Notamacropus eugenii: one gene and its partners. The protein of the gene in region 3 purifies or fractionates together with the protein of the main gene of each other region. This does not show direct contact. Links are inferred from orthologs where the notes say so. Each region holds a gene or a part of one and is shown on either strand. Other genes may lie near its edges. The genes, in order: ACIN1, GPC1, CAMKV and TCOF1.

Region 1 (7,069 bases), on a different chromosome or scaffold from region 3:
CCCAACTGTCCCCAGTAGTGTCTGGCCTCTACTGACTGTGCATGTTATATCCTTCCCACTCTCCCTAAGAATCTAAATTTCTCAAGGGTTGAGACTTGTGAATTTTTTTTATCTATTTCCAAATGCTTAGAAAAATCCCTGGCAAACATTAGGTTCTTAGTATCTTTCCTGATGTGGGTTTGAACTCCTTTTTTGAGCACTTCGTCATAGGTTCTGGATCAACCTGCAGCCTTGAGGCCACAGGTTCCCCACCCCCGACCAAGAGTAACAAGAATGCTTTTCCTCTGTCACAAACCGATGGGGAGGAAAAAAAAACCTGACACTGGGTCACAGTTCAGAATTTCATTCAAGTGGAGAAAAAAAAAAGATGAAATCTTCAGTCACAAAAACTTTACAGAAGTGGGAGGAACCACCAAGAAGATAAAGATGGATTATACCTAGGATTCCAAGCTTCTGCTTGGCCTTGGCTATGCTCCCCTTTACCAGGGCTCTAGTTCAATTCTATATTAGGTCCTAGAGGGGAAAAAAGTAGAGATCATTTAGACTAACAAGAGCATCCTTTTATTCTGGTACAAGCACCTGTAGGCCAATTGAGGGCAAAGACCTTTTGTTTTGTCTCTGTATTCCCAGCACCTATTATTTCTTGAATTACAAAAATAAACTTTCCATCCCATAGGACGGGACATTTGCTATCATAAACTTGGTAGAACTAAGTTATGAAATAAGAATTCTTGCTACTGGCTCCAAAAATACTATGAAACTTTGATAAAAACCAGGGCTCTTAGGCTTGGCAAATAATCATCTGTACTCTAGCCCTCCATCTGACTGACCCATTGATACCCTAACACTTAGCTTACAAACCACACCAGAGCAGGGTCCAGGAGATCATTGCTCCAGATTTAGCTAACTCTTTGAACTGATACCCTGTTGATATCTTATTGCCTGGAGCTTGCTCCCATAGCAAGAGCGTTTCACTTACTCCCCAACCCTTCATCCTCTCCAATGGACCAACTCTAGGGAGATCTGGGTTTCTCATATTTCAATTCTTTTGAGAGACAGCTTGCAAAGGAAGTCAGCAGAGTCATAGGAATTTTAGGGTTATGTGGAAGAAGCAAAATAATAACCAATGACTTGGATTAGTTTTGTTTTTAAAACCTATAGTGATCTATAGGCTATAAGTCCAATAACAATAACTCTGAAAACAGACCTGGATGTCATCCCCAGACATTTCCTTCTCATCTGGGCACTCCCACTTCCGAAGCTATCAACTCAACTCCATCAGTCGTATTGTCTTTTATGATGCTGACTCCTCTTAGTCCTTACCAGCTGTAGCAGCTACCGCTTGATAAAACTTTGCCACAAAGTCTGGCTCACTAGCCTCCAGCTGTCTGACAAACTCGTTGCGCTCCTCCTCAGCCCAGCTTCGGAACCACTGATCCCAGAGTCGAAGCTGGCAATCAAAGATGCGTGGTGGTTGGTCTGCTCCAGAAACGCTAAGCTGTTCCAATCCCTCTAGGAGGGGCTGCAATTTGCCTGGCACTGCTTTAGCTACCAAGTCCTGTAGGAAACACTCACGCTGGGGATCTGACCAGCTGGCAAACCAATGTAGGACACACTTCATCTCCTGTGAAGTGAAGTAAGACATGGAAAGGAAGGAATAATTGTCTGAAGTAGAGGCTAATGTGGAGGAAGAGGATGGGGATATCCAAGAGGCAGCTGACTTCATCGACATCCTAAGGATAAAACAAACGAGTTTTACAATGGATAAAATCAAGATCTCCCTGAGATCAATGGCTGAACAGTTGACACATGGCTCTTGGCACAAAACTCAGCTATTCAAGTACATAAAAAAAATTATTTTTCCCACTTTTCTATATTTTGGAAGATAAATAGCAACCCTTTCTATTCTGTCTTCCCCAAACAACAGTACTACATTGAGACAGTTTGCTTAAAATAATTTTATTCCAAATCTACCAACCTTACTCCTCACCTCTTCAAATGCAGAGCTTCCCTTTGGGATCTAATCCTTGTAATAATCACCAAAATAACCAATATCTCTCATTCTTCCTCTTTCTACCTAAGCCTTCCAAAGCTGGGCAAAGGCAAGAAATATATTGGTCTAACTTGTCTCCTCTAAAATGAATATACATTTAACAACAGAATTCTTTTGTATAACAAATATAGCTGCACAAGGCTTTGAGCGCTTTGGACACTGAATAAGGAATAATGTTGAAAGTCATCACTAAATTTAATGTTGAAAAGAGTCTTTCTTAAACTACAAACAGTAACTGATGCTTCATGCGGGACCCACCATCTAATTAGTTCACTGTGAAGCACTTGTTTCATTTTACAACTAAAAAATTTTTAAAACAGAGATATAAGGGACTCACCCAAAGTCATGCAAGAGAGTAGCAGGAAAGTTAAGTCTTGTGTTCTTTGTCAAAAGTTCAGGACAAACAGTATGGTTGGTTTGGTGGGCCAAGCATCTGGAAAGATGTAATGGATACTTATATTTTTACTCATTATATATTACTCATTTCTCATTTTATTTTTATGTTCATTACTCATTATATACTTACTTCATACATATATATACACACATACATAAATATATATATTACTCATTTTACTCATTGTACCCATCTCCTGTTACTCCTGTCACGTTACCGACAAATACCTGAGCTGTTGATTTTATGCTGGTGGTGTGAGGCTATATCCACTTTTACCTAAGTTATTTTAAATCCCTTAAATATGAAAATATGAAACTGCTATCCATCCAGGTAGGCTACAGTTTTTTCCGAGCAATTCAACAGTCATAGTGTCCCTCTTAGATACTGTTTCTTCTCCTGACAAATGTAAAAGACATGTAGCAACTGCAGTCAATGAATGGAAAAAGCAAGCCCTGGCTAAATTAGCACCAGCAGAGCTAGCAGCAGCAGCAGCAGCAGCTACAGTCTTACTACTCTGTCTAGGGAGGATCCCCAGGGACAGGGAAGCAGGGCAGAATGCAAACTTAGCTCTAGGAAGGAAGACTGCTACAATGTTGCCACAGGTGTCTTCCTAAGGTTGACATTGAAGTACAGGATCGCTACCTCGGGAGTTCAGGAAAACCCACTTGTCTGGATCATCCGAATTGCCTAGTTCTAAATCCTGGTCACAATGCACAGAACGGGGGGAGGGGGGGTCTCCGCTCCTTTTAGCATGCAGGTTAATAGTGCAATCTGTGGGCATTAAATATTGGAAAGCCAATCTGCCCTTCAGACCAGATGTGGAGGGAAGGCTGGACACGGGATGGGGTGGGGTTGAGGGGGTGAGCGAGGAACTTCGGATCTCTGAAGTCTGGGCCCCAAAGTTCCCACACGGCACCCCCGGTAGCCTCCTCACTAGATCCAGAGCCGATGGGAGTGAGGGTGGGGCCGGTGCTCGGATAAAAGGTAAGCTGGACCGAGGGAGGCGGAGGGGCCTCCGCCTAGCTTACCTCCTTATTGTCACCCCGGGGGACCCCAGAAGGAAGTCACAGGAGTCCGTGGGTTCCGGCTACCTCTACACCTCCATGTTCCCAGCAAACCCCACTGGGCAACCCACGCACTTCCGGACCTCGGACAAGGCCCCGAACTCCCCCAGGCGCCTCGGCACCAGTAAGCCGGACCTTATTTCCAGAGCCGTGGGTCCGGAGAAAGCCGAATGCCTCCGAATCCGGTTCTGCCAGGGCAGAGGGTTTACGAGTGCAATCTAGTTCTGGGCTCGGTGGGACGGAGACGTCCGAGCTCCGAAAGGAGAGCGCGGGGGGCGGAGCTTACGGAGAGAATGGAAACTGCGGATTGGTGCTAAGGTGGGAACGGAAATACCCGAGCGCTCTCGAGAAGGCTGAGCGTTCGGATCCGAGGACGGGGAGGGGGAAGGGTTGGCCGTGGCGGTGGGCGGGGTCGGGTCGGCACGTTCGAAGGGCGTTGGCGGAAATTACCGAAGATGCCCGAAGCCGTCGAGACGGGAGCCGAGTACCTCACACAAGATGGCGGAGCTGGAGGAGGTGACTCTGGACGGGAAGCCGCTTCAGGCGCTGCGAGTGACCGACCTGAAGGCCGCACTGGAACAGCGAGGCCTGGCCAAGAGTGGACAGAAGAGTGCCCTGGTCAAGCGGCTCAAAGGGGTAAGCAGACTGCGTCGCAGGGGCGTCGGAGGGGAGCGGACCCGGTAGAGACGAGCCGCCGCCGCGGCGCAGGCGCAGTCCCCGGGCTCGCGCGAGCTCGCTCAGGCCGCCGCGCGAGCCTCGGGATCCGCGCGCGCGGTGGTTGGCGGGGCTCGCGCCGGAGGGAGCCCGTGCCGGTTCCCGCCTTTAACGGCAGCGGCGCGAGCCCGAAACGGGAGGGTGCGCGCCGCTCTCCCCAGAGTGTCCTGCGCTTCCTCCTCCCCCACCCCCGCCTTGTTTGTGTCTGCGGTCTCGGCGCATGCGCGGCAGCAGGAGTTAAATCCCACCACCACCGGGGTTACCGACCCGTGGGAAGGCGGGGGGGGCCCGAGTGGGAGGCGTCCTTGGGCGGGGTGACAGTTGGGCCGGGTCAGGCGGCGGGGGCAGAGGGGGCTGGCCCTGGTGAGGCCGGCCCTGAAGGGGTTAATCCTCCCGGCAGCCCGAGTGGAGACAGTGAAGTTGGGGCTGGGGGGGGGGGGGGCATTTGTGGGGGGGTCCGTTGGAGGAGAGCCTTGCCCCCCGTGGAGGAAGCCCAGCCCCTTGGGGGTCCGAGAGACCTTGGATGTGCTGGACTGGAGTGGGTGTGTTGGGAAGTGGCCGTCAGGGAGGGGTCGCCGTTAGGCCCCTGATCGATGAGGGGATCGGGGCCGGGATAGGCAGGGCGGCCCTGGCCCGGCCGGGCTCAGGTGGGCGGGTGCTGGACTGACGGCCAGCCAGGCCGGCTTGCGCTTGGGCATATCACCCCCTTAGAAAGCACCTGCTCTTGAATTCAGTCCTGTCCCACGTGGTCCTGATCTCAGAGAACTTAGGATCCATATGTGATCTGTCAGCTGTTTCTCAGAGGGGTCGGTTCTGTCCAAGAAGAGCCCTTAGGTATTCATCGGGGGCTCTTGGATTGAATGGGACTGCATGGCCAGGTTGGAGAGTAACCGCCTGAGGAGCCCTGAGGGCAGAGGAACTGAGGATCCTGACAGCTGGATCTGCCACTGACTTGGTTCTTTCTGACAGGAGCCAACCGTCTTTAGTTTATGTAGTTTTGAGTTTTTGCGTCTCTGTATGGAGGGCAGTAGGCATGGCTACCTTTAGGGTTCTTCTGAAACTGTGTGAGAACAGTATTAGTAAAGGACTTGGAAGTCCTTGAACAAGAAGTGTAATTTGAGCGTATATGGTTAGTTTTTCACTTGATAAGGGGGATGGAAGGGAGAAGGTTGGATTTTTTGTGTGTTTCTGAGTTTCTTCTGTCTTTGTCCCAGGCTCTAATGCTGGAGAATTTACAGAAACACTCAACACCTCACACTGCATTCCAGCCAAACTCCCAGGTAAGAAAAAAGTTTCATTTAATAATGGTGGGCTGTTGATATGAATGTGGACACACCAATGCCTGAAACTTGTATTATGTACCAAAATCTTTCCCAGTTTACGTAATTCTGAAATGTCCCTGTATCAAAGTTATGGGATTCCATTTCAGTCGTTTACAAAATCCTAAGGAAAAGTTATCACATGGCTTTCTGAGACTCATGTATGTGTTTAACCGAGCTGTGTTAGGAGGAACACCTCACCTCCATTGGGTTCAGAAGGTCAGATCACTTATTTTCCACAGATGAGAAAATAAAATTTGTCCTGATGACACCAGATGTAAATTTGAAATGACCACCGTTAGAATAGTTTGGCCAAACACCTGTTTAAGACTGGCAAGATGAAAAACTGACAGATTTATAAATGGTAGCCAGAACAAGATCACCCACTAACTTCTCCCCCTTAATAAGAGCCTTGTAAATCACTTAGATTTGAAGAAGTAAGTTTTAATCCTTTTCCTTTTAGATATAACTAATTGTGACACTGGCCTTCTGGGTGTTCCAGGAATAAGACACTCCATCCTCCAGCTCCAGGCATTCATTCTTTCTGGCTGTCACCCATGCCTGGAACACTTTCCCTCCTCCCCTCCAACTGTCAACCTCTTTGGCTTCCTTTAAGTCCCAGCTAAAACCTCACCTACAAGAAGCTTTCCCCAACCCCTCTTAATTCCAGTGCCTTCCCCTTTTTAATATCCCCTATTTATCTTGTATATAACTTGTTCTGTATATATTTGTTTGCACGTTGCCTCCTCTAGTAGATCCTTGAGGGTAGGTACCGTCTTTTGCCTCTTTTTGTATCCCCAGCTCTTAACCACAATCCTTGGCACATAGTAGGAGTTTGATATTGTTTGATTGGTAACGTGACTTTGGACAAGTCACCGAAGCTATCTGGGTCTCCAGTTTTTTAACTTGTAAATTGAGGGGAACTGTATTTAAATTATCTGTATAGTTCCTTTCAACTCTGATAAGTCTCTGATTCTGTAGCAAAACATTAAAGGACAAACACATCCAGGCTTCTCTTATTTTGAACATTGACAGTTTTGCTATTAGATTAGGTCCCAGGATACTAGGGAAAAACAAGCTCCACAGAGGCCCCACCTTTTCCCTTGTTATCTCCTCATTAAGCCAGACAGTTCCTTAATCCTGCCAGCTCATAAAGCTTTAGTCCAGGTACTTTAACAAACCCAAGAAACTGGCCCAAGCTAAGCCATGCTCAGTGTTGTAGTGTTTCTAACCTAGCACTTCTGTTCTTACAAACATGGGCTTAAATTCTTTATAAACCTTCTGATCTGAAGTCTCTACCTGAGATCGAGGCCTTGTGAAATATTAAGCCTTATAAGAACAGGCTTGAAAACACAGTAGTAAAAGCACATACTTGGTTTTTTGTTTTGTTTCTTTACTGAAGTCATTATTTTTTACTCTAAAAAAAGGTTCTTACAAGGTAGTAGAGGAGCAAAGGAGTGTGAGGACAAGCATGGTCTTTAAGGGCTCTAGAGAGATTGTTAGATTTCTTGTCAGTAATTTT
Region 2 (7,946 bases), on a different chromosome or scaffold from region 3:
AGTCCATCTCCTTCATAAATCATCCCCCACATAGCCACCAAAATGATTTATTTTCCTAAAATTCAGATTTAATCATGTCACTCTCATGTTCAGCAAACCTCAGTGGCTTCCTGTTGTCTCAAGGATCAAACATAAGCTCCTTTATTTGACACTTACATCTCTCACACAGAGGCCCCATCTCTAATCACTGTGCCTTTGTTGACTGTACCACCTACCTGGAATGCTCTCCCTCCTTACCTCTGACAGTTGAACTCCATATTTTCCCTCCAGACCTAAATCAAATGACATCATCTTCATGAAACCTTTCCTGTCCTCCGCATCTTAAAGCAGATTAAAGTAATTAAAAAGTACTGTCTTTATAGAGTAAGAGGAGGAAAATATAATTAAGAAAAAAACATTAGAGACAAATTGGAGAAAATTTTACTGCAAAGAAATTGGCCCAGAGAGGTTAAGCAACAATTCCCCCAAGCCCAAGCTTTGTTACTATCAATCCTCTCAATTATACAGCCTTGAGATCCCAGCATCCTCTTTGACTCCCTCACCCCCTACATTCAATCAGTTTCCAAGTCTTGTCAGTTCTGATTTGCAATGTTTCCCACATCCAGTCCGTACTTTCAACCATGGATAGCACCAACCTAGTTCAAGTTTTCAGGCAGCCTGCAAACTTGGTGACTTCCACATATATATTGATGTTTTCTCAAACACCCTAGCTTTCCAGTTCACCTGTCTCCAAAATTCTCAAAATTCCTTTCTTTGATCTCCATTGCCTCTCCTTCAATCTCTTCTTCTCCTTCATATCTCCAATACCAATTATTTATCCTCACCAAGACCTCCATCTGCTCTATCCACCCTTTTCTGTTCTCAGCAGTAAAAAGAGCAGGTTGGACTAGGTGAGCTCTGTCATTCCTACAACTTCTAGATCTGTGACCCTGGTAGGTTTCCATTTTATTTTCCAAGAAGGATGGTGCTCAAAGTTCAATTCAATTCAACAAATATTTAGCATGCACTGTATGCTGGGGCACTATGCTGGGATGGGCACTGGGGATACAAAGATAAAAATGAAACAATCCCTGCCCTCAAGAAGCTTACTTTCTATTTGATGAACATGGAATTGAGACCCAAGATAAACAAAGCTAGAGTAAGAAAATGCCAAGTTCCTTTGAATGAGTGGCTCAATGAACATTTATTAAGCACCTACTATGTGCCAGATACTGTGCTAAGCACTGGGGATACAAAAAGAATGAGATTTCTAAATAAAACTGTATACCAAGGTAGTGAAAGAACTTATAAAGGTACTTACATCAAGATTCTTGAAAAAAAATTGGAAGTGGGAGAAGTACCACAGGACAAATGTCTGTGTAAAATGTCATCTTACACTTTTGTAATTTTGAAAAACACAAAGTCTTACACTGGGGTCAAAAAACCAATAAGACAGCACAATATGGAAGATATGTTCAAACAAAACAGGGATGATTATAATAGCACCACCCTCCCAGGGTTGTGGTCAGGATTGAACAAGATAACATTTGTTAAGTGCTTGGCACATAGTAGATGCTTAATAAATATGTATTCCTTTCCCTTTGCCACTCTGACCTGGTCAGATGAGATCTGGGATATTATCCTGGGCACCACAATTTAGGAAGGGCACTGATAAATTGGCCAACCAGAACGGTAAAAGACCCAAAGATGATGCCATATGTGGAATGGAAAAAAGAACAGTTAGTGTTTAGCCGGAAGAAATGAAGATTCAGTCAAGTGATGCAAAAGATGGAGTAATATCTGTCTTCAATATGTGAAGGGCTGTCACCTAAAAGAGGTATAAAACGGCTATTTCTTGAATTGCATTAAATTCTAAATATCCTAAGCTGGGGATCATCGTCTCTGAATGAAAATAAAATGGAGAAGCATACTAGGGTCATAGATCTAGAATAGGTAGGGGTGCCAGGGGCCATCGAGTCGAACCCACTCATTCCCCTGCCAAGGAAATCGAAGCACAGAGAGATTAAGCATCAATTTACAAGCCCAGGCTTTGGTCCTATCAATCCTCTCAATTATACAGGCTCAAAACCTCAGGTTTCTTTATTTCTTCCCTGTCTTCTACCTTTTCCATATAGTTCCCAGAAGGAAGAACTTGGAGTTAATGTTGCAAAGATATAAGTTTAGGTTGATGTCAGAAAAATATTTCTTACAGAAATCTCCAAAAGTAGAATTATCTGTCTCCAGAGGTAGAGGGATTTCCCCTCTTTAGAAGTGGTCAAGTGAAGGCTGGACATTCTCTTTCCAGGTATTTTGGAATGAATCCATTTTTCAGGTGGGGCAAACAGGTTAAACAGCTTGCCATAGCTAGTAAGTATATGAGGCTGGATTTGAACTCATCTTCCTAACTTTAGGACAGTATTTTGTCAACTATGCCATATCACCTACAATAGCCCTTATGCTGAATGTCAATTTCTGAGACATCTTCAGAGGGATGCAAGGCACCTTAGGACGGTGACCTGCCCAGGTCAAAAAAGGTAAGTCAAAGATCACCTGCCAGTCAGTAGTGGGATCAGGCCCTTTTCTGCACTTTCAGACTGGGCAGGACAGGGAGGAGGAGTGGGAGGGAGGTCTCAAAGTCTTCCTTCTCTTAGGTTTCTCCCCAACATCCTTTACAGCATTCCCCTTTTGACTTAGTCAAGGAGCAGGTAGTGACTCCGATCCCTTTCCCCTAAAGACATGTAAATAGAGGAACAGTAGCGCAAGATCCATAGACCAACAAGTAAGCAGAATCACTGCGTCCGGGAAGTAGTGAGGCTTATAGGATCCTAGATCGAGAATTGGATGGGACCTCTGACATCATCTAGTCGAAATTCTTTTACAGAGGAGGAAAACGAGGCCCAGAGTAGTTAAGAAATCTGTCCAGGGTCACACAGTGACAGCACTGGGATTCTATCTCAGGTATTTTAAAGCCAAGTTTACCACCTTCCGAGGAGATCACACTTCATTGTAGGTAACACAGCAGGGAGTAACGGGTCCTAAGATGTTCCAAAGAAGCACGCCTCCTTTTCGGGATTTGTTGGGTAAGGGAAGGTATTCAGGAGTGACATCAGAGGCCAGAGATCAGATTCTCCAGGGGTGTGCTAAAGCACAAGGGTGCCTAGGGGATGGGGGAAGAGACAACTATCCAAAGAAAGTAACTTGCAGAACGTTTTCCGATCTGAATTGATGACAGAAGGAGAATCCTCATCCCGGAGGTCCCTACACTAATGAAATCACGGGTCCAGTGTTTCTCCTATATCCTGGTTATTTGTTGAGGTTCTTCTTCTCCCCTGGGGGATAGTGGAGCAGGGATAGGGGGTGGCGGAGGTCGAAAGCCTGCCCCTTTCCCTTTTCATGATGAAAGCCCAGAAGAGGAACAGGGGCGGCGGGAGTGGGGGGCAGGGATAGTCAGTCACACTTGAATTCTGATAGGGATGGGGGGAAGGGACAACAGAATTAAAGGAGGAAGGATGTCTGGGTGCAAGAGGGCAGGAGTATTGGAACGGAAGGAAATAAGAGAGTGTTGAAGGAAGAAAGCGAAGGGAGTATGGAAGACGGGAGGAAGGAATAAGGAGCAGAAATAAGGGTGTGTGGACCAAGGAGGAGAAGGGTGTGGATCCGTAGGCAGGAGAGAGCAGAAGAAAGGAGAGTGTGTGGCAATTGTAGAATGGAAAAGGGGAGAGGCGTACGTGAAGGACCGAAAGCAGGGATGGAGAGAAAGATGAAAGGGCTGCTGAACAGAGAAGAGAGTATGTATAGAGACAGGAAGATGCATGCACCTAGGTCAGAAGGCACAGGGCGTAAACCGAGGCAGAGGGGGAGAGCATGCTGAGAAGAGGGTGGTTTGCCTGAGGAGGAAAGAAGTGGGTGGAGGTGTGTAGACACAGAGTGGTGGATAGAAGACTAGAGGAAAGGGATGTGGACAGAGGAGAAGTGAAGGAGGGCACGTGGATGGAGGAGCCCGGGCGTAAGGAAAGATCAATGTCAGCTCTTAACTGGAGAGCCGACCTAGGAGGGAAGGGGGACGTGGGGGCGCCGGGTGGTGTTGCTGCTGACTTGGGCTGGGGGTGGGGGAAGCCTCTGATTGGTAGCCTGGGTGGTATGACGCCACGTCCGGCGGGGGAAGCCCTGCCTCAGCTTCAGAAAAAAAAAATCTCCCCTCCTTCGGCCCCCCCAACCCCGCTCTTTCCCTCACCCCCCTCACCCCCGCCCCCTTTTTGCAGGTAGTGCCGCCGCCCTGAGCCCAGAAGGAGAGCGCCAAGCTCCGGGCAGGAGGGAGCAGGCACTGCCCCCTCCCCGGGTCGGATTCGCTCGGCTCGGTGTCCCCCACCCCCACGGCCAGCCCCACGAGGGTGCAGTCCCAGGTTCTGGCCGCCACCCCCTCCTCAGGATCCTGATATCCGCCCCAGAGTCAGACAGTCCCGCGCTTCCCTTCGTGACTACTCTCCATCCCTTTCTCCAGCTCTCCATCCATCGGGCGCGTGTGCGCCCTGCACTGGGCACCCCCCGAGATCCCGCCCTCTCTCCCCCCCCCCCCCCCCCCCAATCCCCGGCAGCATCCTCGCCAGCCCGAGGTCGCCTCTCTGGGAGGGAGAGAGGAAAAGAGCGCCGCGGACGGAGGCGGACACCGAGTGGCCGGCGGGAGGGAGCGTGGGGCTCCCCGCATCCCCAGTCCGGCCCATCCGAGGCCCCGCCCGGCCTGGGCCCGCCCCGCCCCGCCCCCGCGCGCCGGCCTCGCCCCCGCCTCTCACCCCCCCATTCCTCCTCTCCCCTCCGCCGGGTGGGCCGGGCCGGGGGTGGGGCCGAAGGTGGGACGGAGCGCGAGCGCTTGGCGGCTGCCGCTGCTGAAGCTGCTCCCGCCGCCGCCGCCGCCGCCGCGGACCGTGCCTGACTCGAGCTGCGCCCGGGGAACTCGCCCCGGGCTTTTGTTGTCATCCTCCTCCTCCTCTCCTGCTGCCCCGCCGCCCTCCCCGCCCCGGCCACCTCCTCCAGGCAGTGAGCCCGGCGCCCCGGGACCTTGGCTCTGCCCTTCGCCCGCCGGACGGCGGCGGGGCGCAGCGAGGGACAGGCGTACCGGCGGACGGACGGGAGGGCGGCGGCCGGCCGGCCGGCCATGGATCTCCTCGTGCGGGGCTGCTGGCTCCTCTGGGTGGCCGCCGCCGCCTCGGCCCGCGGGGAGCCGGGGGGCAGCAAGAGCCGGAGCTGTGCCGAGGTCCGCCAGGTCTACGGGGCCAAAGGCTTCAGCCTGAGCGGCGTGCCCCAGGCGGAGATCTCCGGTGAGTGGGGCCATTCATTGCGGGAGGGCGCCAGCTGCCCCCACCCCCACCCCGGCCAAGGCGACCGGCCAAGGGGCATGGGGTGAGGGGGGACGGGGGCACGGGGAATGGGACTGAGTTCCCAGGGGCAGCACTCGCGGAGGCGGCCCGCTGCAGCTCTGGGGGAGGGGGGAGAGCCCTGGGGCACGCCTGCGATCGGAGCCTCGGGGCAGGTGGGCAGGGGACGGACCGGCTTTTCCAGCCATCGCCACCACCACCACCACCACCACCACCACCACCACCACCACCACCACCACCCCCACCACCCCCACCACCCATCCCCAGCCTCCTCCACTGCGGCCGCTTCGGAAAGTTCTCCCGGCTCATCTTAGCTCCCACCCGTACAAGCTCAGGGTTAAAGGGGGGGAAGAAAAGTGCATGGGAGCGGCAGAAAAGCCATTTGTCTTGGAGACAGAGAGACCGAACAAGTGAGTGGTCGGTCACCGGGGATTGTGGTCCCTGGGCCTCCCCCAGCCCGAGTGACCCTGGGACTGGCCTCTCCCAGGCTTCTCCCGGTGAACAGACGGGCCAGATCCTCTCGGAGCTGCAGCAGTCGCCGCCACCCCGGGCCAGGGCCAGTTCCTGGACAAGTTGGCTCTCAGGCCGCCCAGGGGATGGGGCTCTTGGAGGCGGGCAGCAACAACGCGGAGAAAAGGGATCCTGGAGAAGAGAGTAGGGGGCGAGAGGGAGGCAAGGTTACCGCTAGAAGGGCTTTCTCCTGCCTTGGATTTGGGATGGAAACAGCGTGTTTAGTGATGGAGATTCAGTGAGGAAGTAGACCCCCATTGGAGGAGGTGTCTGGCTTCTGTCCCAAGAGATAGAGATGATTGGGGGCGGGGAGGGGTGCCGGGGATGGATAAAGGATTTCCATTTTTTTGTTGTTTTTGTTGCGTTTCAGTTTGTTTTTTGTTTGTTTGTTTGTTTTTTCACCAAGCTAGAGATTTTAAACGGCAAAAAGAGACTTGGTGAAATTCTGTTCTGTGTTTGCAGATGAGTTTTTATTGTGGATCAGAGAGCAGAAAGGAGTGCCCCTTCCCATGCTGTGGGCAGCCAGGGGGGTGCTTGTCCCAGGGAAGTCTTTCTCCTAACCTCATGGCTCACAGCTGAGAGCCATCTGCCCAGTTCCTACATTCTGGGAGAGAGAAAGAGATGGCTGGAGGCCGCTGACGAAGAGTCAGGCAGAGCCACCCACCCCCAGGGAGCAGCCTTGGCTAACTGCAGCCGGAGAAGCCCTTTGGATTTCTCTCAGCAACTGTCACTTCTTTATAAGGAACCGTCCCTCAGTCATCCACAGGCATCTGGCAGCACTCCCTGCCCTCTCCTGCTCAAGCAGAAGGTGAATCCCTAACCTGGGGACAAGAGAGAGAGGTGCTGGCCTTCCCAGGAGACCGTTGGGGTTGATGGGAGAATGATACCTGTTGAAAGCAAGATGTCTATGTTTGCAAAGGACTTGCTAAAACCAGGTTTCTCCAAAGGGTGTTGGTGCAGGTGTCTGTCCTTGGTTGGGGGAAGGGGATTCAGGAGGAGGTGTTAGACTATTACAGGATTACCACCTGTGTGGTAGAAACACACTTAAGACTTAGCTTACCTGGGCCTGGGTTTCCTCCTCAGTAAAATCAACTGGATGGCCTTTGAAGTTCTATCTCTGACGGTCTTTTGAGTCTGTAAAAATAGCCTTAGAGTGACAAAGAATCATAGGAATTCCAAGTCAGAAGTGAACCTTTAATCCAACCCTATCTCAAGCCTCCTGTTCCTCCTCTCTAAAATGAGAGGGTGAGCTGAGGCCGCTTTCAATTCTACATCTAGGATCTTCTGGAGTGGGACAGGCTGTAGCAGGCCCCCTGCAAGCCTTCTTCCTCTCTTGGATCCATCCCAGGGATACTGACAGGAAGGTGGAGTTGGACCACTCATTGACCTTTGCCAGTTGGGGGCCTGGCTTGCAGTTTCAGGTATAGGGGCCAGCAAAGGACCAGGGGAAACTGGATTCCTATGGAAGCTGTTGGGTCACCCTCCAAGTATGGAATGAGACTGAAAACCCATATTAAAGCAATCTTCCTAATGAAAGCATCACTAAATCTTTATGAAGTACCTACTATGTGCCAAAGTGAGAAACTTATAAAAACAAAAATGTAACACTCTCTGCTTTTAAGGAGATGCAGTTGCTGGGGTGTTGTGCTTTTAAAGGATATTCCTGGTTTGTTTGTTGTTTTTTTTTCTTTTTTTTTCTGACTGAAAAAAGAGAAGGTCTGTTCTTAAGTGGGTGATTGACCTTTGAACTCATTTATTCATTGGGTGTGCAGAACTCCTGCCAGATACCTCCTTCTGCTGAGAGCAGTGAGATTATGGGAGAGAAGCTTTAAAAAAAAATGGGAAGCTTCTGGCCAGTAAGGACTCAGTTTCACTGTGATACTTTATAGTCTGAAACCTTTTAATGATAGGTTCCAAGCTGGAATATCCAGGCTTTTCTTTGGCTCCTACTCTGCTTGAGACACCAAGGGGTGGAGAATCGCTTAAGGAGATCTCAGCCAAGACATGTGTATGTGATTTCACATTTTAAACCCAGTAAGCCCTATGATAGGACTCCATCTCCATCTGATTTTGAGCACGGACAGG
Region 3 (7,455 bases):
CTAAATTTTAAGCCCAGATCTCTATACATCAGAATTATTCTGGCCTGGTAGGTGCCCCAACTTGTATTATAGTGGCAAAATGGTCCCCTGGTTTAGAATGAAATCTATCATGGTTTTTTCTTCCTGAGACAGAAAATGGAGCACCATCTGAATTCACTTTTCTTCCTGGACCCTTGAGAAACCCAGTCCATTGTTGGTTTGCTGCTTTTTATTTGCTGAACACTCTCCTCTCTGTCAATCCCACTGGCTGTAGCCCTGAGGCACTGTTCAACCCATTCCACAATAAAGCTTCCGAGGGGACCTTCATAACCCTTTCATATCCGTTGTTATTAATTATTGTTATTAATTACTATTTCCATTTTTAAAATGAGGAAACAGGCTCAGGTGGGTAGAAGCATTTATTAAGTGCTTACTGTTCGCAAGGTTTTGTACTAGGCTGTTGTTGGGTTTTTGTCCTTCATTCTCAAAGAGAACCATGACATCAGGAAGGTGACACCATAACTTACAAATGAATCGGATTGAAGTGAGGAAGGGCTGTGCAAAGACACCAGCCTCACATTAGGCACCAGTAACAAAACGATGAAAATGACACAGGTCTCATCCTCCTGTGCAGGGCATGATTAAATGGAGCACTAAGTAGCATGTGACAGAGCCAAAAGGAAACTCTTCACAAAGCACTCAGAGAATACCAGAGAGTGAGATGGTTAATAAATGACCAAAGTCCAGGTCTGTGCTTTTGGTTATATCTCAATATGGTGTGCTCTGTGCCCGGGAAGGCACATTGGAGATTAAGAATCAGTCAGGAGACAGCTAGGTGGTGCAGTGAGTAGAGCACTGGCCCTGGAGTCAGGAGGACCTGAGTTCAAATCTGGCCTCAGACACTTGACACTTACAAGCTGTATGACCTTGGACAAGTCATTTAACCCTGATTGCTTTGCCTCCCCACACCAAAAAATTAAAAAAAAAGAAAAGAAATCAGCCATTCAAACTGAAAAATGAGAAGGGAATAAGTATTTATTAAGCACCTACTATGTGCCAGCTACTGATTACTCTTACAAATATCATCTCACTGTAATGTTATTATCTCCATTTTATAGTTGAGTAAAGTGAAGCAGACAGGTATCCTGGGTCACACAGCTGGTAAATGTCTGAGGCTGGATTTGAACTCAGGTCTGTACTGATTCCAGGTCTGGCACTCTATCCACTTTATCAGCTGCTTCTGATGAATGAAACAATCCTTACCCTGAAGGAACTTGCATTTTCATGGAGGTGACAAGTACATATATAATTATATGTGGAATAAACATAGAGAGAATAAAGACAAATAAATAGAAGTTAGGTACAGTTTGGTTTGAGAAAGAATAACTGGGAGGATAAGAAGGGAGCACTGAAGCTGTATGTGAAGGAAGAGGAGAATTGTATCAGGTGGAAGTGGGGAGGGAGTGCATTCCAGGTGTGAAGAATGGCCAGTGCCAAAGCTGAAAGGCATGGGATGTAAGGCTGTGTGTGAGAAACAGAGAGAGAGAGAGATCAATCTGGCCACATAGTGGGTGGGGCAGGGGGGAAGAAGGGGAATGTCCAACGAGATTGGAAAGCTAGGTTGAGACCAGCTCATGGAGGTCTTTAAAAACCAAACAGAAGAATCCGATCTTGAACCTAAAGGTAATAGGGAGCCATCAGAGTTGACTGAGTAGGAGAATGACATAGTCAGACCTGCCCTTAAGGAGAACCACTTACTAAGTGGTATGGAGGATTAACAGGAAGAGGGGAGAGACTTGAAGCTAGGAAACCTGTTATATGTAGGAGTAAGGATTTGGGTTTCAAGGGTATCTGGCGGCTCTAGGAATAGAGATGTCAAGGTGGGGAAGACAAATTACAGAGGCTCTAAGCTTCCTTAACTCCTCTCCTCCCCTCCAGACAGAGGGGCCGTCTGACAAGCTATGGGGAAGAGTCTCTAGACCTTTTCTACTCTCCTGATGATGGATCAAGAGAGCTAAGATGCTCCCTCTTAGCCCCATTCAGAGTCAACTGGGCCTGTCCCCAGGAGATGGGGGCATACAAAGACTCAGGACCTTGCTTCTTCCTTTCTCTTGGGCAAGAGTACTAAGGAGACATTCCTTTAGTAACGGACAATTCATTGCTTACCTCAGAGTTGCTAGACATAGATTGAGACATCCTAGCAAGTCAGATGTGGAAGTGGGGAGAGAGAATAACTCCCACTTTAATGGAAGGAGAATGAGGCTTGTGTTGCTGACTCCCCTACCTACTTCTGATAGTCCTTCACTATTGCAAAGGTGATCAATATACTAATTGTGCTGAGGAAACTGCCCAGAGAGCCGTAGAATCTGTGTTCCATTGGGAACAGATTCTCCCCACGGGCCCTTTTACAGCAGTGCTAGAGGGAGTAATAGGAGCCTGAGCTCCCAGACATAATCCCTGGGCCCAATCCTGAGGGGGTGGCTAGACTTGAATGGGGCAAGGGTTTTGCCCCATTCCACCCAAATTAAAATTGGGGCAAGGTCTTCTAAGCTCTCTGTTGCAAAAATGTACTTCTAGCTTACTTGACTATTGCCATGTGTAAATTCATTTGTTCAACAAACTCTTCATTAAGTATTGACTATGTACATGTTCTCAAGGTAGGTCTTGGGCAGAGACACAGATATATTTTAGAGCTTATAGCTTAATAGGGAAGGTAAGACATGTAAACATAAATTAATACAACTTATCATGTGATAAGTATAAAGTATTATTCAATCAGATGATCTCAGTCATTTATTGGACGTATGTCTTATGTGAGGGGCAGTCATGTGCTGTGGATAGTTAGCTGGCCTTGGGGTCGGAAAGGCCTGGGTTCAAGCTCTACCTATTACACAGAATGACTGTGAAATTGTGGGCAAGTCACTTAACCTCTCAATGGCCCTGGCAGCTCTTGCAGAAAAGATACCCGTCTGTATTGGACAATGAAAGTCTTCACTGCAGTTTCCCTCTGTCAATGAAACTGTAGGTCAGGTAAAAAACATGTATTATGTATTTATATCCCATGCAACAATTCAAATATTTATCAAAGGCATGTTGTGTACAGAGACTGGGGAGAAATACAGACTTTAGAGAAGACTGTCTATGAAATGAACCTGGCATTTGCTCTCAGAGTGTAACCAGAGGACAGGTCTGACACACCGCAGGGCACTCTGTACAGAACCATGCACAAAGAGCTGTTTGAAAAGGTGACCTTGTCTTATTCAATAGATTTGTTCCTGAAAAAGTTGCATATAAATAAAATTTATGTAAATCAAATCCTATTTTAAACACTCCTTTAAAAAAGCCTGGGAGTGGCATCGTAGAAGCAGCTCTGACATCAGAGGACTGAGTTTGAATGTTGGCTCTGCTACCCGCCAGCGCCTCTCTGGGGCTCCGATTCCTCCCTTGTAAATGAGGGCATTGGACTAGATGATCTAAGGTCCCTTCCAGGCCTAAAGTCTGTGATCTAAATCCAGACGGAAACAAATCCTGCAAATTGAAGGCCCTGTGAAACAAACCCTTTCTAGAAGAGAAAAATCAAGCCCCAATTTCCTTTGTAAATCTAGATGAAAAATCTGCAGGCTGCTTAACTCAGGGCCCAAGGGGGCAGGTTTCTGGATGGCATTTGAGGCTCAGCTGATTTAGGCCTGGGTGGGCAGTGTGGTCAGAGGTGGGAAGGAATGGGCCCCAGCTAAGCAGGTGCTGGGCTGCAGGCAGGGTTCGGGGAAGGAGTCGAACTAGTCTCTGAGTCAAAAATACATTCAAGTCAGACTTCTGGGTTGGGAGTTACCAACTCCTATTTCTGGGTTCTGCCCAGCCTCAACCTGGCAGAGATAACACACTTCTCAGAATTAGCATGTTGCTCAGAGAAAAAGCATGCTATGGTCAGAAGTAGCCTTGGAGTCAGGAGCTGTGGGTTCAAATCCACACTCAGATGTGTATACACTTTGTCTTGTCCCTTGACTTTTCTGAGTATCTGGGTCCTCAGTTATAAAATGGAGATAATGATATTTACAAGACTTGCCTTATGGGACTGTTTTTTTGAGGAGACAACTCTGCAGAGCTTAAAATGCTTTGGAAATGGAGATTATAGTTATTATTAGAGAGCAAATGGAGGAACAGGCCTGACCCAGAGAGGGGAGAAGGAGGAGAAGAAGCAAGCAGAGTTCTGGGTTTGGGAGACATGGCGTTTTTGTCTGGACAACCATGAACTGGCAAAATGGAATTGGTGAAGGGATCTGTGGGATCACCCCTGCTTGAGCCTAAGGGAAGGTGCACTATGGGTAGGGAGGACCCCATTCTCAGGAAAACTATGCTTCTGTCCTTCCTGCAGACCGGGCCTGGCAATGCCGTTTGGCTGTGTGACTCTGGGAGAAAAGAAGGATTATAACCAGCCATCTGAGGTGACAGACAGATATGACTTGGGGCAGGTCATCAAAACGTGAGTGTTGGGCCCTGGAGAAAGGGAGCAGGGCATCTGGGAGGGGTAGGGTACCAGTAGGGAAAGAGGAGAAGTAGAAAAGAGGGATGTCATCTTGGTGGGGAGAGAGAGAGAGAGAGAGAGAGAGAGAGAGAGAGAGAGAGAGAGAGAGAGAGAAGGAGAGAGAGAGAGAGAAGGAGGGAGGGCGAGAGAGAGACAGAGAGAAAGAGAGAGAAGGAGAGAGAGAGGAGAGAGAGAGAGAGAAGGAGGGAGGGCGAGAGAGAGACAGAGAGAAAGAGAGAGAGAGAGAGAGAGAGAGAAGGAGGGAGGGCGAGAAAGAGACAGAGACAGAGAGAGAGAAAGACACAAAGAGAAAGAGAGAGAAGGAGAGCGAGATTGATTTGAAATCAGAGGGTCTGAGCTCTAACTCCTGCTCATGTGTATGACCTGGGACAAGTCACGCCATCCCTCTAGGCATCTTTTTCCTCACCTGGATAATGACATGGGTTGGACTAGATCTCTACGATCCTTCCAGTTCTAAAATCATTCGATCATATAATCGTGGGGAAGGGGGCGGGAGTGGGGGTGGGGGATGTACCCAGGCTAAAGAGGGCCCTGGGCTGCAGGGAAGAGTTCTGCGAGATTTTTCGGGCCAAGGACAAGGCGACAGGAAAGCTGCACACCTGTAAGAAGTTCCTAAAGCGAGACGGGCGGAAGGTGCGCAAAGCGGCCAAGAATGAGATCGTCATCCTGAAAATGTGAGTGCTCGGCACTGACCTCTCAGCCCGGCCCTGCAGGTCAGACACCCGGGGGTGGGGGTGGGGGTGGGGGTGAGGGTGGGGGTGCGGCTGGAGGTGCGGCTGGGGGTGAAAAAGAAGAAGAGGAAGGCAAGGGAAGGGAGAAAAAAACGGAGAAAGAACAGAGGCAAGGAGAAGAAAAGACATTGTGAGTGAGAAGGCATGAGAATGGAGGTGGTGTGTGGGCAGGAAGGAGAGCTTTTCCCTGGCTCCAGAGGGTCCTCAAGCCCAGGTCTGTGACCCCTTCACTCGCTCTGGATGGCTGGTCACTGCCCCTGGCACCTGGTGGTTTTTGGACCCTAGCCTCTCCTGTGCCTGCCTCCCCATCTCCCCTTCAGAAAGAAGAGCCCCAGACTAGCTCCCACCCCCAAAATCCATTGGAGAAAAACAGTTCAGGGCCTTTCCTGCCTCCTTCCTGTTGTGGAGAGATCTTATGTCCATATATGGATTGGATTGTGGCTTTGGAGGCCCTTTCCAAATCTGAGATTCTACAATTCCTCACTCCCATCTCTGGCCTTAGGGTGAAGCACCCCAACATCCTGCAGCTGGTGGACGTGTTTGTGACCCGCAAAGAATACTTCATTTTCTTGGAGCTGTGAGTAGGGAAGGAGGTAGAGTCTGGGGTTCCCAATTATCCACCCAACCTTAGCTTAGCCCTGAAATCTTCCTGTGCTCCATCCTTCCACAGCTAATGTCCTCCCCCCACCTCCTGCCCAAAGGCTGAGTTTCAGTGGTATGAGAGCTCCCTGGAAGACAAAGTAAAAAGCTATCCCTAGATTGGCAGTGCCCTAGAGAGAACCTCATCCTTCTGAATTCTTTACCATTTATACTCTGCCAGCTCCCCAAGAGGAGTTCCAAGATCCTGCCTTTCTCCTGGAGAATGGTTGGCAGGCTTTCTTTTCTGGCATCTGTGCCCCTTTCTCCAGCTCTCTCTAGGCTCCAACACATGTGGGAACTTCTCCAGGTTAGCCAGCCTCCAAGCTCATTAAGATCTATAGAATCTTGGGTCAAACTGGGAGCAGCCTAGCTAGGGAACACATATTCTAGCTCTGGCATCAAAGAAACGCCTCTAGCCACACACCCAAATACACAAAGTGTCCTCCCAGAGTCTCCAGTCCATCCCTGTCCCTTGGTCTACTATGTCCAACTGAGGAGGTATCTCAGGAAATATATGTGGGGGAAAGGGCTTAAGTTTCCTTGTCCCACAGGGCCACAGGGAGGGAAGTGTTTGACTGGATCTTAGACCAGGGATACTACTCAGAACGAGACACAAGCAACGTGGTGCGGCAAGTCCTGGAGGCTGTGGCCTACCTGCACTCCCTGAAGATTGTGCATCGAAACCTCAAGGTGTAGCCCTGGCCCAGGGTGGAGAAAGGGACTGGATGGGATGAGTGGCTCGGGGCTGGGGAGGGGAGTTGTAGGCAGTTCTCCCTTATCCAGGTTTCCAACATCTTCTCTATAAAATATCCAGGGAAATTTGTAATCTCTGGTTGACTCTCCCTTATACTGAGCCCTGCCATCAAGTAGTGGGTACCTGGGGGGACGTATGTGATTTAGCCTGAGCTGAAGTAATCAGGAAAGCTAATTACTGGGAGTGGTATGCATTTAGATAACAAATAAAAAGGATATTCAGAAAAATTAGTGAAACATGTTTGGGAATTATCCCTTAGTTTGGATTATGGAGGTTCCTCTCCATTTACATAAATAATTGAGAGCTGGCTCTATAAGGAAGTGGGATTGGGGATTTGAAGGCCCTAGAATAAAGGTTCTAGATCTGAAAGACCCCTAGATTTGGAGTCTGGGCACCTCAGTCCCAGCTCTGATCTTTCCTTCTTTTGTGACCTTCCATATCATACCCTCTCTGTACCTCAGTTTCCAACTCTGTAAAATGATGATGGGAGGGAGGAACTAGATAATTTCTAAATCTACCATTCTACTAAATTCAGGGCAGGAGGAAGGGAGGAAGGGAACTGTAGCTGGGGTGGAAGACAATGTCTCTGGCAAAGAGCATAGTGTTCCAGTGGTGCAGGAAGGGGTGGGTCTTGGGGGCACTAGGTAATTTCTCAAGAGGATCTCACAGGATCTTCTCCCACTTTTGTGTTCTGGTTGTAGTTGGAAAATCTGGTATACTACAACCGGCTGAAGAATTCCAAGATTGTCATCAGCGACTTCCATCTGGCCAAACTAGAGAACGGACTCATCAAGGAACCCTGCGGGACC
Region 4 (7,548 bases), about 370 Mb from region 3:
TGAGTTCCTCTGAGGCCATAAGGCTTTTGTTCTTGCTTTGACCAATTGCCTCCAGCTGATTCCCATCCTCCATACCATCAAAATCCCATTCTCTTGCTTCTGATCCTTAGTCACCCCAGTCCCATCAAGATCCTTCTTAGACTCCTCCTCAAGACCCTCCCTAGACCCTTCCTCCCAGACTACTAGACCACCCCTGGATCTCTCCCACAATCTTTCTGTATATAAGACCCATCCCATTTCCATGAAGGTGCTCAGATTCAATCTAGCTCAGACTTAGTCTGTGTCAGATTGTTCTGGCCTGCTTATCAAAACAAGCGTCACAAATGCTCATATTCCTTAGGAGTCTACCCAATATGGTAAACCTTTAATAAACTTTGTTTTTCTCTTTGGCTGAAACTAGACTTGGGTCAAATATATTTGATCAGGACCTGGCATGTTGGTATTTTGGGGTTCCCAGAATCTCAAAACCCTTTGGGGTTTCACTTCAGTATTCAGTCGACACAACTGAAATGACTGAACAAGAACAACAAAAATGGCAAAGCCCATCTGTACATGTGAAGGACTGAAGGATTTGATACTTGGAGTATTGACTTCCTGTTCACAAATATTGGAAGGGAAGGAGTTGAAGCAGCTTGAGCTCAGAGGACATTAAGAGGTTTATACATTGATGTAATCTGAGTTAACTATTTTGGGCTGGCCAGACACATGAAATACTAGTTGCCCTTCTTTGTAAACTGTGGTCCTATGGAAAGGATGACTCTCACATTTAGGAAAAGATCATAGATTCAGAGCCAAAAGGGATCTAAAAAGTCACCGTTTCCAACCCCTTCCCTTTGCAAATGAAGACTGAATAAAATGATTTGCCCAAAGTCATACAGATTTCATATAGAAGAATCAGCATGCAAATCCAGGTCCTCTGGCTCCACATACAATGCTCTCTCCAAATCACGTGGAATTGGCCAGGTTGAGGTGCTGAGAAAGCAAGGCTTAGGAAGAGAGTTCAAGCATCACAGCTAAACCTAAATCCTAAATCCTAAATCTTTGCAACGTATCAAAATGTCTTATTCCTCTACTGAAGCACCATTAAACTCAAATAGAATGGGGTAGGGGTGGGGTGCTAATCTATGCATACAAATTCTTATGGGTTTCATGTTTTTGTTGCTATTTTTCAGTCATATCTGACTTTCCATGACTCTGTTTGGGATTTGCTTGGCAAAGAGACTGGAGTGGTTTGCCATTTCCTTCTCCAGCTCATTTTACAGATGAGGAAACTGAGGCAAACAAGATTAAGTGACTTGCCCAGGGTCACACAGCTGGTAAGTGTCTGAGGCTGTGTTTGAATTCATGAAGATGGGTTTTCCTAATCCCAGGCCCAGCACTCCGTCCATTGTGCCACCAAGCTGCCCATAATGGGAGAGACTACATGAAGATAAATAGATAAATGTAAGATTCATACAGAGAAGATGAAATATAATCTGAGAAGAAAATTCTACCAGATGACGAGATGGAAAAGGCCTCCTGGAGAAGGTAAGATGAATTGAATCTTGAAAGAAGCCAGAGAAATTAAGAATTAGAGAGGAGAGGAGAAAGCAGTCTAGACACTGGGGACCATGGGTGCAAAGACAAGAAGATGGGAGACAGAGAAACAGCAAACAATCCAGTGTGGCTGGAGCCCAGAACATGTGGAAAGGAGTACATGCAGAAGGAAACTGGACAGGTTATGAAGAGTTTTAAATGCAACTGCCAATTTTATATTTAACCCAATGACTCCCTATAGCTTCCAGGATGAAACACAAAATGCTCTGTCTGGCACTCAAAATCCTTCATAACATTGCCTCCTCCTAATGATGGGGTGATGGCACCTGGGCCCCTAAAAGGAAAAGACAGTGTCTCTGAATGCAACCTAATCCCTGAATTTTCCTCACACATTTCAGCAGTCCAGATCACTGGCATCTTGCCCAAGCCATCTGGTCCAGTCCAGCTCACCTAGATGATTGACAGTCCTTTCACAGTCCCTCTTGGCCCACCCCAGACTTCTTTATACCTTTCACCATCCACCAGGGCCACCCCAGGCTATTTACTACTCCTTAATCCTATCCACATCTTTTCACTGTCCCTTTTTTGTATATGAGTATCAGTCTCACCCCCATTAAATTACAGATATACTAGGAATCTCACTGGCCATTACTGGCATTTCAATAGACTGCCCCTTGACTGGAATAAGGTTTGAGTCTATGAATTCATTCCAGGAAGACTCTGCCTTGCACCCTGACATTTCAGGGTTTCCAGTAACCTCAAACCACATCATTACCTTTCTAGTCTCCTCCCTCTCACACAGCACATACTCTTCAATCCAGCAACATTGACCCCAATTGCTCTACAAAAGACATTCCATCTCTTTTCTGATCTTTTTCTCTTACTGCCCCTCATCCTTAGAGTGTTCTACCATGTCAACTCCACCTATTGACTTACTAGCTTCCTTTAAGTCCCAAATAAAATTCCATCTTCTCCAGGAAACCTTAGTACAATTTGAAGCTTTAATAAGCTTACAAAAATTATTTTATATTGGTTATCAAAATATATTTTTTTAAAAGTTTAGGATCCAAGTTTAAGAGCCCTTGCTCTATTCCATGATGTCTGTGTGTGCATTGATTTAGCACTAATCCTTTCCAGATATGACATTCAAAGTTCAAACATATCTGATAGGACACTAATGATGCACCCCTAAAAGGCCCTTGGACTTTCCCACATGGCTCAGGTCCCTTCAGCTCATCTGAGGCTCTTCTCAGCATAATCCTTTTAACTGCCCTTTCATTGTGGCCCTCATTGTCTGCACCCTAGACCCCCACTCCTTGATTCCATCTAGACCCGCTCCTTGACTACTGTGTAAAAAGTCCATCTTGCCTCTATTAAAGTGTTCAGATTCCTTAAGAATCTGGCCCGCTTGCATTAAGATATTGAAAGACTCAGATTCTTAAAATCTTGCCAATCCCAACCAGTGTTCTAATTAATTTTGTCTCTGGCTGAAAGAAAGCTTCAGAGGAATTCATTAGAGGTAGGCCCCTGTTATTTGCCCTTGAATTTCTGGGTCCCAGCACTCCTAGACATCAACAATACCCATCATTTGTTTCCTGGATGAGTGGGAATAAGGCATGAGGAGGGTCCTTCCATTTCCCCTCTTCACCTCAAATAGAAATCCCCATTCTCTATTTAAAAAATAAATTTTATTAGTATGTTTTGTTTTTACATTGTCTGCATCTCTCAATGTATCCCTACAGTCCTTATAACAGAATAAAAAAGGGAAGAAAACATGTCAGCACTGTCTGCCCTAACACATATCTGGATCAAATGTAACAAAATTATAAAAAGATCCAGCAGGATTCAGAATGAAGACAGAAGAGAGGACACTCCCCAACCTACCCCTTCATGAAGGTGAGAGGTCTGCAGGTTTTAAAATGTTACACTTATTTTCAGACTTTACAATGTATCGATAAGTTGGAGGTTATAGACTGTACAAGTCCCCACCCACCTAGCACAAAGCCAACATAATTACCATATAGTAACTGTTTCTCTTTTACGCAGGAACCCTGAGGGTCTTCCCTCCCAGTCTGATTTTTTTTTTTTTTATTAAAGCCTCCATCCTTTGAGTAACTACTTAAAGAAGCCTATTGATTGAATGGGTGCATCTCACTCAAAGTGAGAATGTGATAAGACCTTAGCCTGAAAGGGCCAGGTTCTCACACTGCATCCTAGGCCATCTCCAGCTGTCCTGAAGAATATCAGCTCACTGGACCCAGATAGCTCCAGAGGAGAAAGTGAGGCTGGTGACTGCACAGCCCTCCCTCACTCAAATGAAAGTCAACTGCAAGTCATGTCATCATCTTGATGTCATGGTCCTCTTGGAGAACGAAGGAGAAACACAACAACCTGTACAGGTTTTTTCTCAAAAAAAAAAATTCCATTTGTTGTTATAGGAGGATAGCTCTCTGGGAGGGAGGATACTTGGGACAATTATGATCATGCAAAAAAAAAAAGATAGCAATAAAAGCTTATTTTCAATTAATCAATACACTTTACTAAGCACCTAGTATAAGTGCCAATCAATCAATAATCAATAATCACTAAGCGACTTCTAAGTGCCTGTCACTATGCTATAAAGGTGGGGATAGACAAAGAGGCAAAAGGCAGTGCGTGCCCTCAAGGAGCTTGTAGTCTGTTTATCAGGAAAAGTCTGACGTTCTGTCCCGAGCGCCATGGCCAACAGTCCCCGGAGAACCGCCCCCATTTCTCCCCAGCCGGGTGGAGCGCTCTGAGCCTCAACCCAGGGCCCCAGAGAAACTACATTTCCCAGCACAACCCAAGGCCAGGATAAGACTCTCGGGAAGTCGGAAGTAGTAGAGTGAGGTCTAAGGGCGGAGGGGCGGAGACGAGGGGGAAAAGTTGTGCGCGCGAGCCTGCCGGAGCCGATTTGCAGCAAACCTTCGGTCCTCGTGCGTCCGGGCCCGACAGCACCCGCCGCTGTCCAGCCTCGCAGACATGGCCGAAGCCCGAAAGCGGAGGGAGCTGCTGCCGCTCATCCACCACCACCTGGTGCAGGCTGGCTACGTGAGGGCGGCGCGGGAGGTGAAGCTGCAGAGCGGCCAGGTGAGGAGGAGGCAGGGAGGGAGGAGGGAGGGAAGGGACCCTCGTGGCCACCTGTCTAGTCCCCGATCGGATCGCTGCCGAGCCCGGCAGAGCTTCCAGGACAGGCTTGGGAGAAGGGGGCAGCTTGGCAGCATCCCCGGGGTTCGCCTGTCACACCAGACAGCCCAGAATCGTGATGCCCTCATGTCTTGAAGTCCCCCTTACTGGGTTCATCCTGCACGGCTTGTGGCCTCAGCCCTTGGAGAAATACTTGATAGCATGTTTTCAGTTACTGTGGAATGACTTGCTAAGCAGAAGATGGCAGAGGGATAACCGGAAAGGAGGGACAGTGTGGATGGCCAGGGTGAAGAGGAACAGGAAAAGCCTATTGAAGAACTGGCTGGTAATTGCCCTGTAACTCTGCTCGGCATGTATGGGATAAGCCCCAATCTGAACCCTGTCATTACAGCAGCTGATAGCGGTGTCCGAGCCCTGCGTGTGCACGAGGGGAAGACAGGAAGCGTGTATCCACTAGAGATGTCAGGAAAGGTTGGCCATGTTTCCTGGAACTGACACGTGCTGCTAGATCACTAGCAGATCTTGGGAGGGAGACGCTGAGAAGGTTCTGTTCCTACATGGCTGTCTGGCTCTCTTTGCTAGGAAGGCAGATCTCTGGGTAGTTCTTGTTCTTCCTTTGGGCCTCCTCCTAACTTTACCTACTGAGTTGCAGCGTGGCAAAGTGAAAAATGCCCTGGATTGAGGGCTAGACACACCCGGCACTGCTCCATACTTAGTGTATGACTGGATCAGTTACTTAACTTGTTTGAAACTCTGTTTTCTCACTTGTAAAATAGAAAGGATTAGATTAGATTAATTACCTCCCAGGGCCCTTCTCTGAATGCGGAAGAGTGTGGCAAGGGAAGGATGTTCTCTGGTGACATTCTTTCCAAAATACGCATTGCAATGGTCTTGGGTTTTACCCAGTGGAGTCCTGGGGTTTAATTATGGTCTAGGGTAAATTGCTTACAAGTGATAAGACTTCCTCTGCCTTGGGCTGTCTTCTCATATGTAAAAGGAAGGTTTACATTGAAAAGACCCCGTAGTTAACTAAGGGCTCTGGTTCCTTTGTACTTCCTTATTCCCGCTCAGTTTTCCAAAACTGTTTCTTTCTGATTGTTTTAGCCAGAAAGGACCTTGGTAGAGACTTCCTAGTCTCATCCTAGAGAATAAAAATCTGAGCTCCAGACAAAGAGAGCAGATGGGGAACTAGAAGCCAGGTCTCTTCACAAGACACTTTACAGGCTAACTGTCTTATTTAATCTTTGAAACAACCCTGTAAGGTAGGTATTACAGATTTTAGTCCCATTTCACAGATGCGGAAATCAAGGTTCATAGAAGTTGTGACTTGCCCATGATCCCCCAACTGTCAGACATGGAACTGAACCCAATTCTTCCTTACTCTTAGGTCCATCATGCTACCTACCACTCCATGCTGTCAGGATCCCTTATTAGCATTGGACTTCATCCTGAATTTCATTCCTTGGAGAGAACTTTCCAGTTAGCCCATACCCCTTACCTTCTCTGCCCATCTCCTTAGGATCTTTCCTTCCCTGCCCCAGTTATTTTGTATCAAAAAAAAAAAAAAGTGAAACTGGGAAGGGAAGACCCTCAGGGTTCCTGGGTAAAAGAGAAACAGTTACTATTTAATATTTGTATCTCTCTCCCTCTCCCTCCCCCTCAAAATCCCCTGAACCTAGGGAAATACATGCTGCATAATAGTTGCTTAATCCTTACTGAAGAAGTATGCCCATGTACCTTCTGTTCCTTCAGGGTACTTACTTGAACTACTGCTCTGTTTGAATGGGATGCTTGTTCTGGAGGTCTGACATACCCTTAGCCTTCTTCTTTTTATCCTCTTTTATCTGTTAATTTTTTATTCTGCTATCAAAGTGACCTCTTGAACTCATCCTCCATCCCATTCAATAAACTCCAGGGGCTCCCTATGGCATCCAGGATTAAATATAAAATAGGCTGATTGCTACCTGAAGCCCTTCACGACCTGGCCCTGTCTGACCTTTACAGTCTTCTTACGCCTTACACTACATCCCATATCCTGTATCCCAGGGACACAGGCCTCCTCCCTGTTCTTCTCACCAGACATTCCATCTCCCAGTCATCTGCATTTTCTTTACCTGTCTCCTGTGCCTGGAATACCCCAGCCTCTTTATCCCAACTTGTTGACTTTTCTGGGTTACTTCATGCCTCAGCTAAAACCCTTACCTCCAGTGCACAGTAATGTTAGTGCTTTCGCCCAGTGGATTGTCTCCGGTGTGCGCCGCATATAACTCGTTTGTACATAGTTGTTTGCCTGTCGCACTCCCCCCACCATTACTTGCTTTTTTCCTGTCTTTATCACTTAGCATATAGTAGGCACTTAATAAATTACGCTTGCTATTGTTACCCATCCTTTAAAGCCCACTTCTTTTTTTTTAAAATCAAATTTATTATTTTTAACATTCTTTTCTTTTTAAATTTCAGGTTCCAAATTCTCTCCCTCTCTCCGACCCCTCCCCCACCTAATGAGAAGGCAAGCAAAATGATATCAATTATAATTGTGAAATCATGCAAAACATATTTCCATGTGAGCCATATCACACAAAAAAACAAAGTGATAAACTCTACTTCATTTTAGACTCAAGAGTTCATCAATTCTGTCTCTCTGGAAGTGGACAGCATTTTTTTCATAATGAGTCCTTCGGAATTGTCTTGGATCTTTTGTATTGATCAGAGTAGCCAAGCCTTTCATGGTTAATCATCATTACAACATTGCTGTTACTGTGCACAGTGATCTCCTTCTCATTTCATTTTGCATCAGTTCATATAGGTCTTTCTGTGTTTTTCTGAAACCATCCTCTTGTCATTTCT

The links.
Region 1: the proteins of CAMKV (region 3) and ACIN1 purify together in Homo sapiens (affinity purification with mass spectrometry; 3 studies listed by BioGRID and IntAct, counting the BioPlex papers as one, with this or other methods). This does not show direct contact. The link is inferred for Notamacropus eugenii from reciprocal best matches to the Homo sapiens genes CAMKV and ACIN1.
Region 2: the proteins of CAMKV (region 3) and GPC1 purify together in Homo sapiens (affinity purification with mass spectrometry; 3 studies listed by BioGRID and IntAct, counting the BioPlex papers as one, with this or other methods). This does not show direct contact. The link is inferred for Notamacropus eugenii from reciprocal best matches to the Homo sapiens genes CAMKV and GPC1.
Region 4: the proteins of CAMKV (region 3) and TCOF1 purify together in Homo sapiens (affinity purification with mass spectrometry; 3 studies listed by BioGRID and IntAct, counting the BioPlex papers as one, with this or other methods). This does not show direct contact. The link is inferred for Notamacropus eugenii from reciprocal best matches to the Homo sapiens genes CAMKV and TCOF1.

What each region holds. Positions count from the first base shown.
Region 1 is NC_092878.1:10,067,023-10,074,091, forward strand, and holds the start of ACIN1 (apoptotic chromatin condensation inducer in the nucleus), read left to right. Parts: upstream 1-3,992; 5' UTR 3,993-4,012; coding exon 4,013-4,150; intron 4,151-5,442; coding exon 5,443-5,508; intron 5,509-7,069. Other genes in the region: C7H14orf119 (uncharacterized protein C14orf119 homolog), read right to left, coding at 1,313-1,732.
Region 2 is NC_092873.1:53,653,901-53,661,846, forward strand, and holds the start of GPC1 (glypican-1), read left to right. Parts: upstream 1-4,824; 5' UTR 4,825-5,131; coding exon 5,132-5,294; intron 5,295-7,946. UniProt on the Homo sapiens protein: Cell surface proteoglycan that bears heparan sulfate. Binds, via the heparan sulfate side chains, alpha-4 (V) collagen and participates in Schwann cell myelination.
Region 3 is NC_092872.1:5,862,295-5,869,749, forward strand, and holds the start of CAMKV (caM kinase-like vesicle-associated protein), read left to right. Parts: upstream 1-4,296; 5' UTR 4,297-4,364; coding exon 4,365-4,459; intron 4,460-5,064; coding exon 5,065-5,196; intron 5,197-5,755; coding exon 5,756-5,830; intron 5,831-6,443; coding exon 6,444-6,582; intron 6,583-7,347; coding exon 7,348-7,455. UniProt on the Homo sapiens protein: Does not appear to have detectable kinase activity.
Region 4 is NC_092872.1:378,240,529-378,248,076, forward strand, and holds the start of TCOF1 (treacle protein), read left to right. Parts: upstream 1-4,404; 5' UTR 4,405-4,536; coding exon 4,537-4,644; intron 4,645-7,548.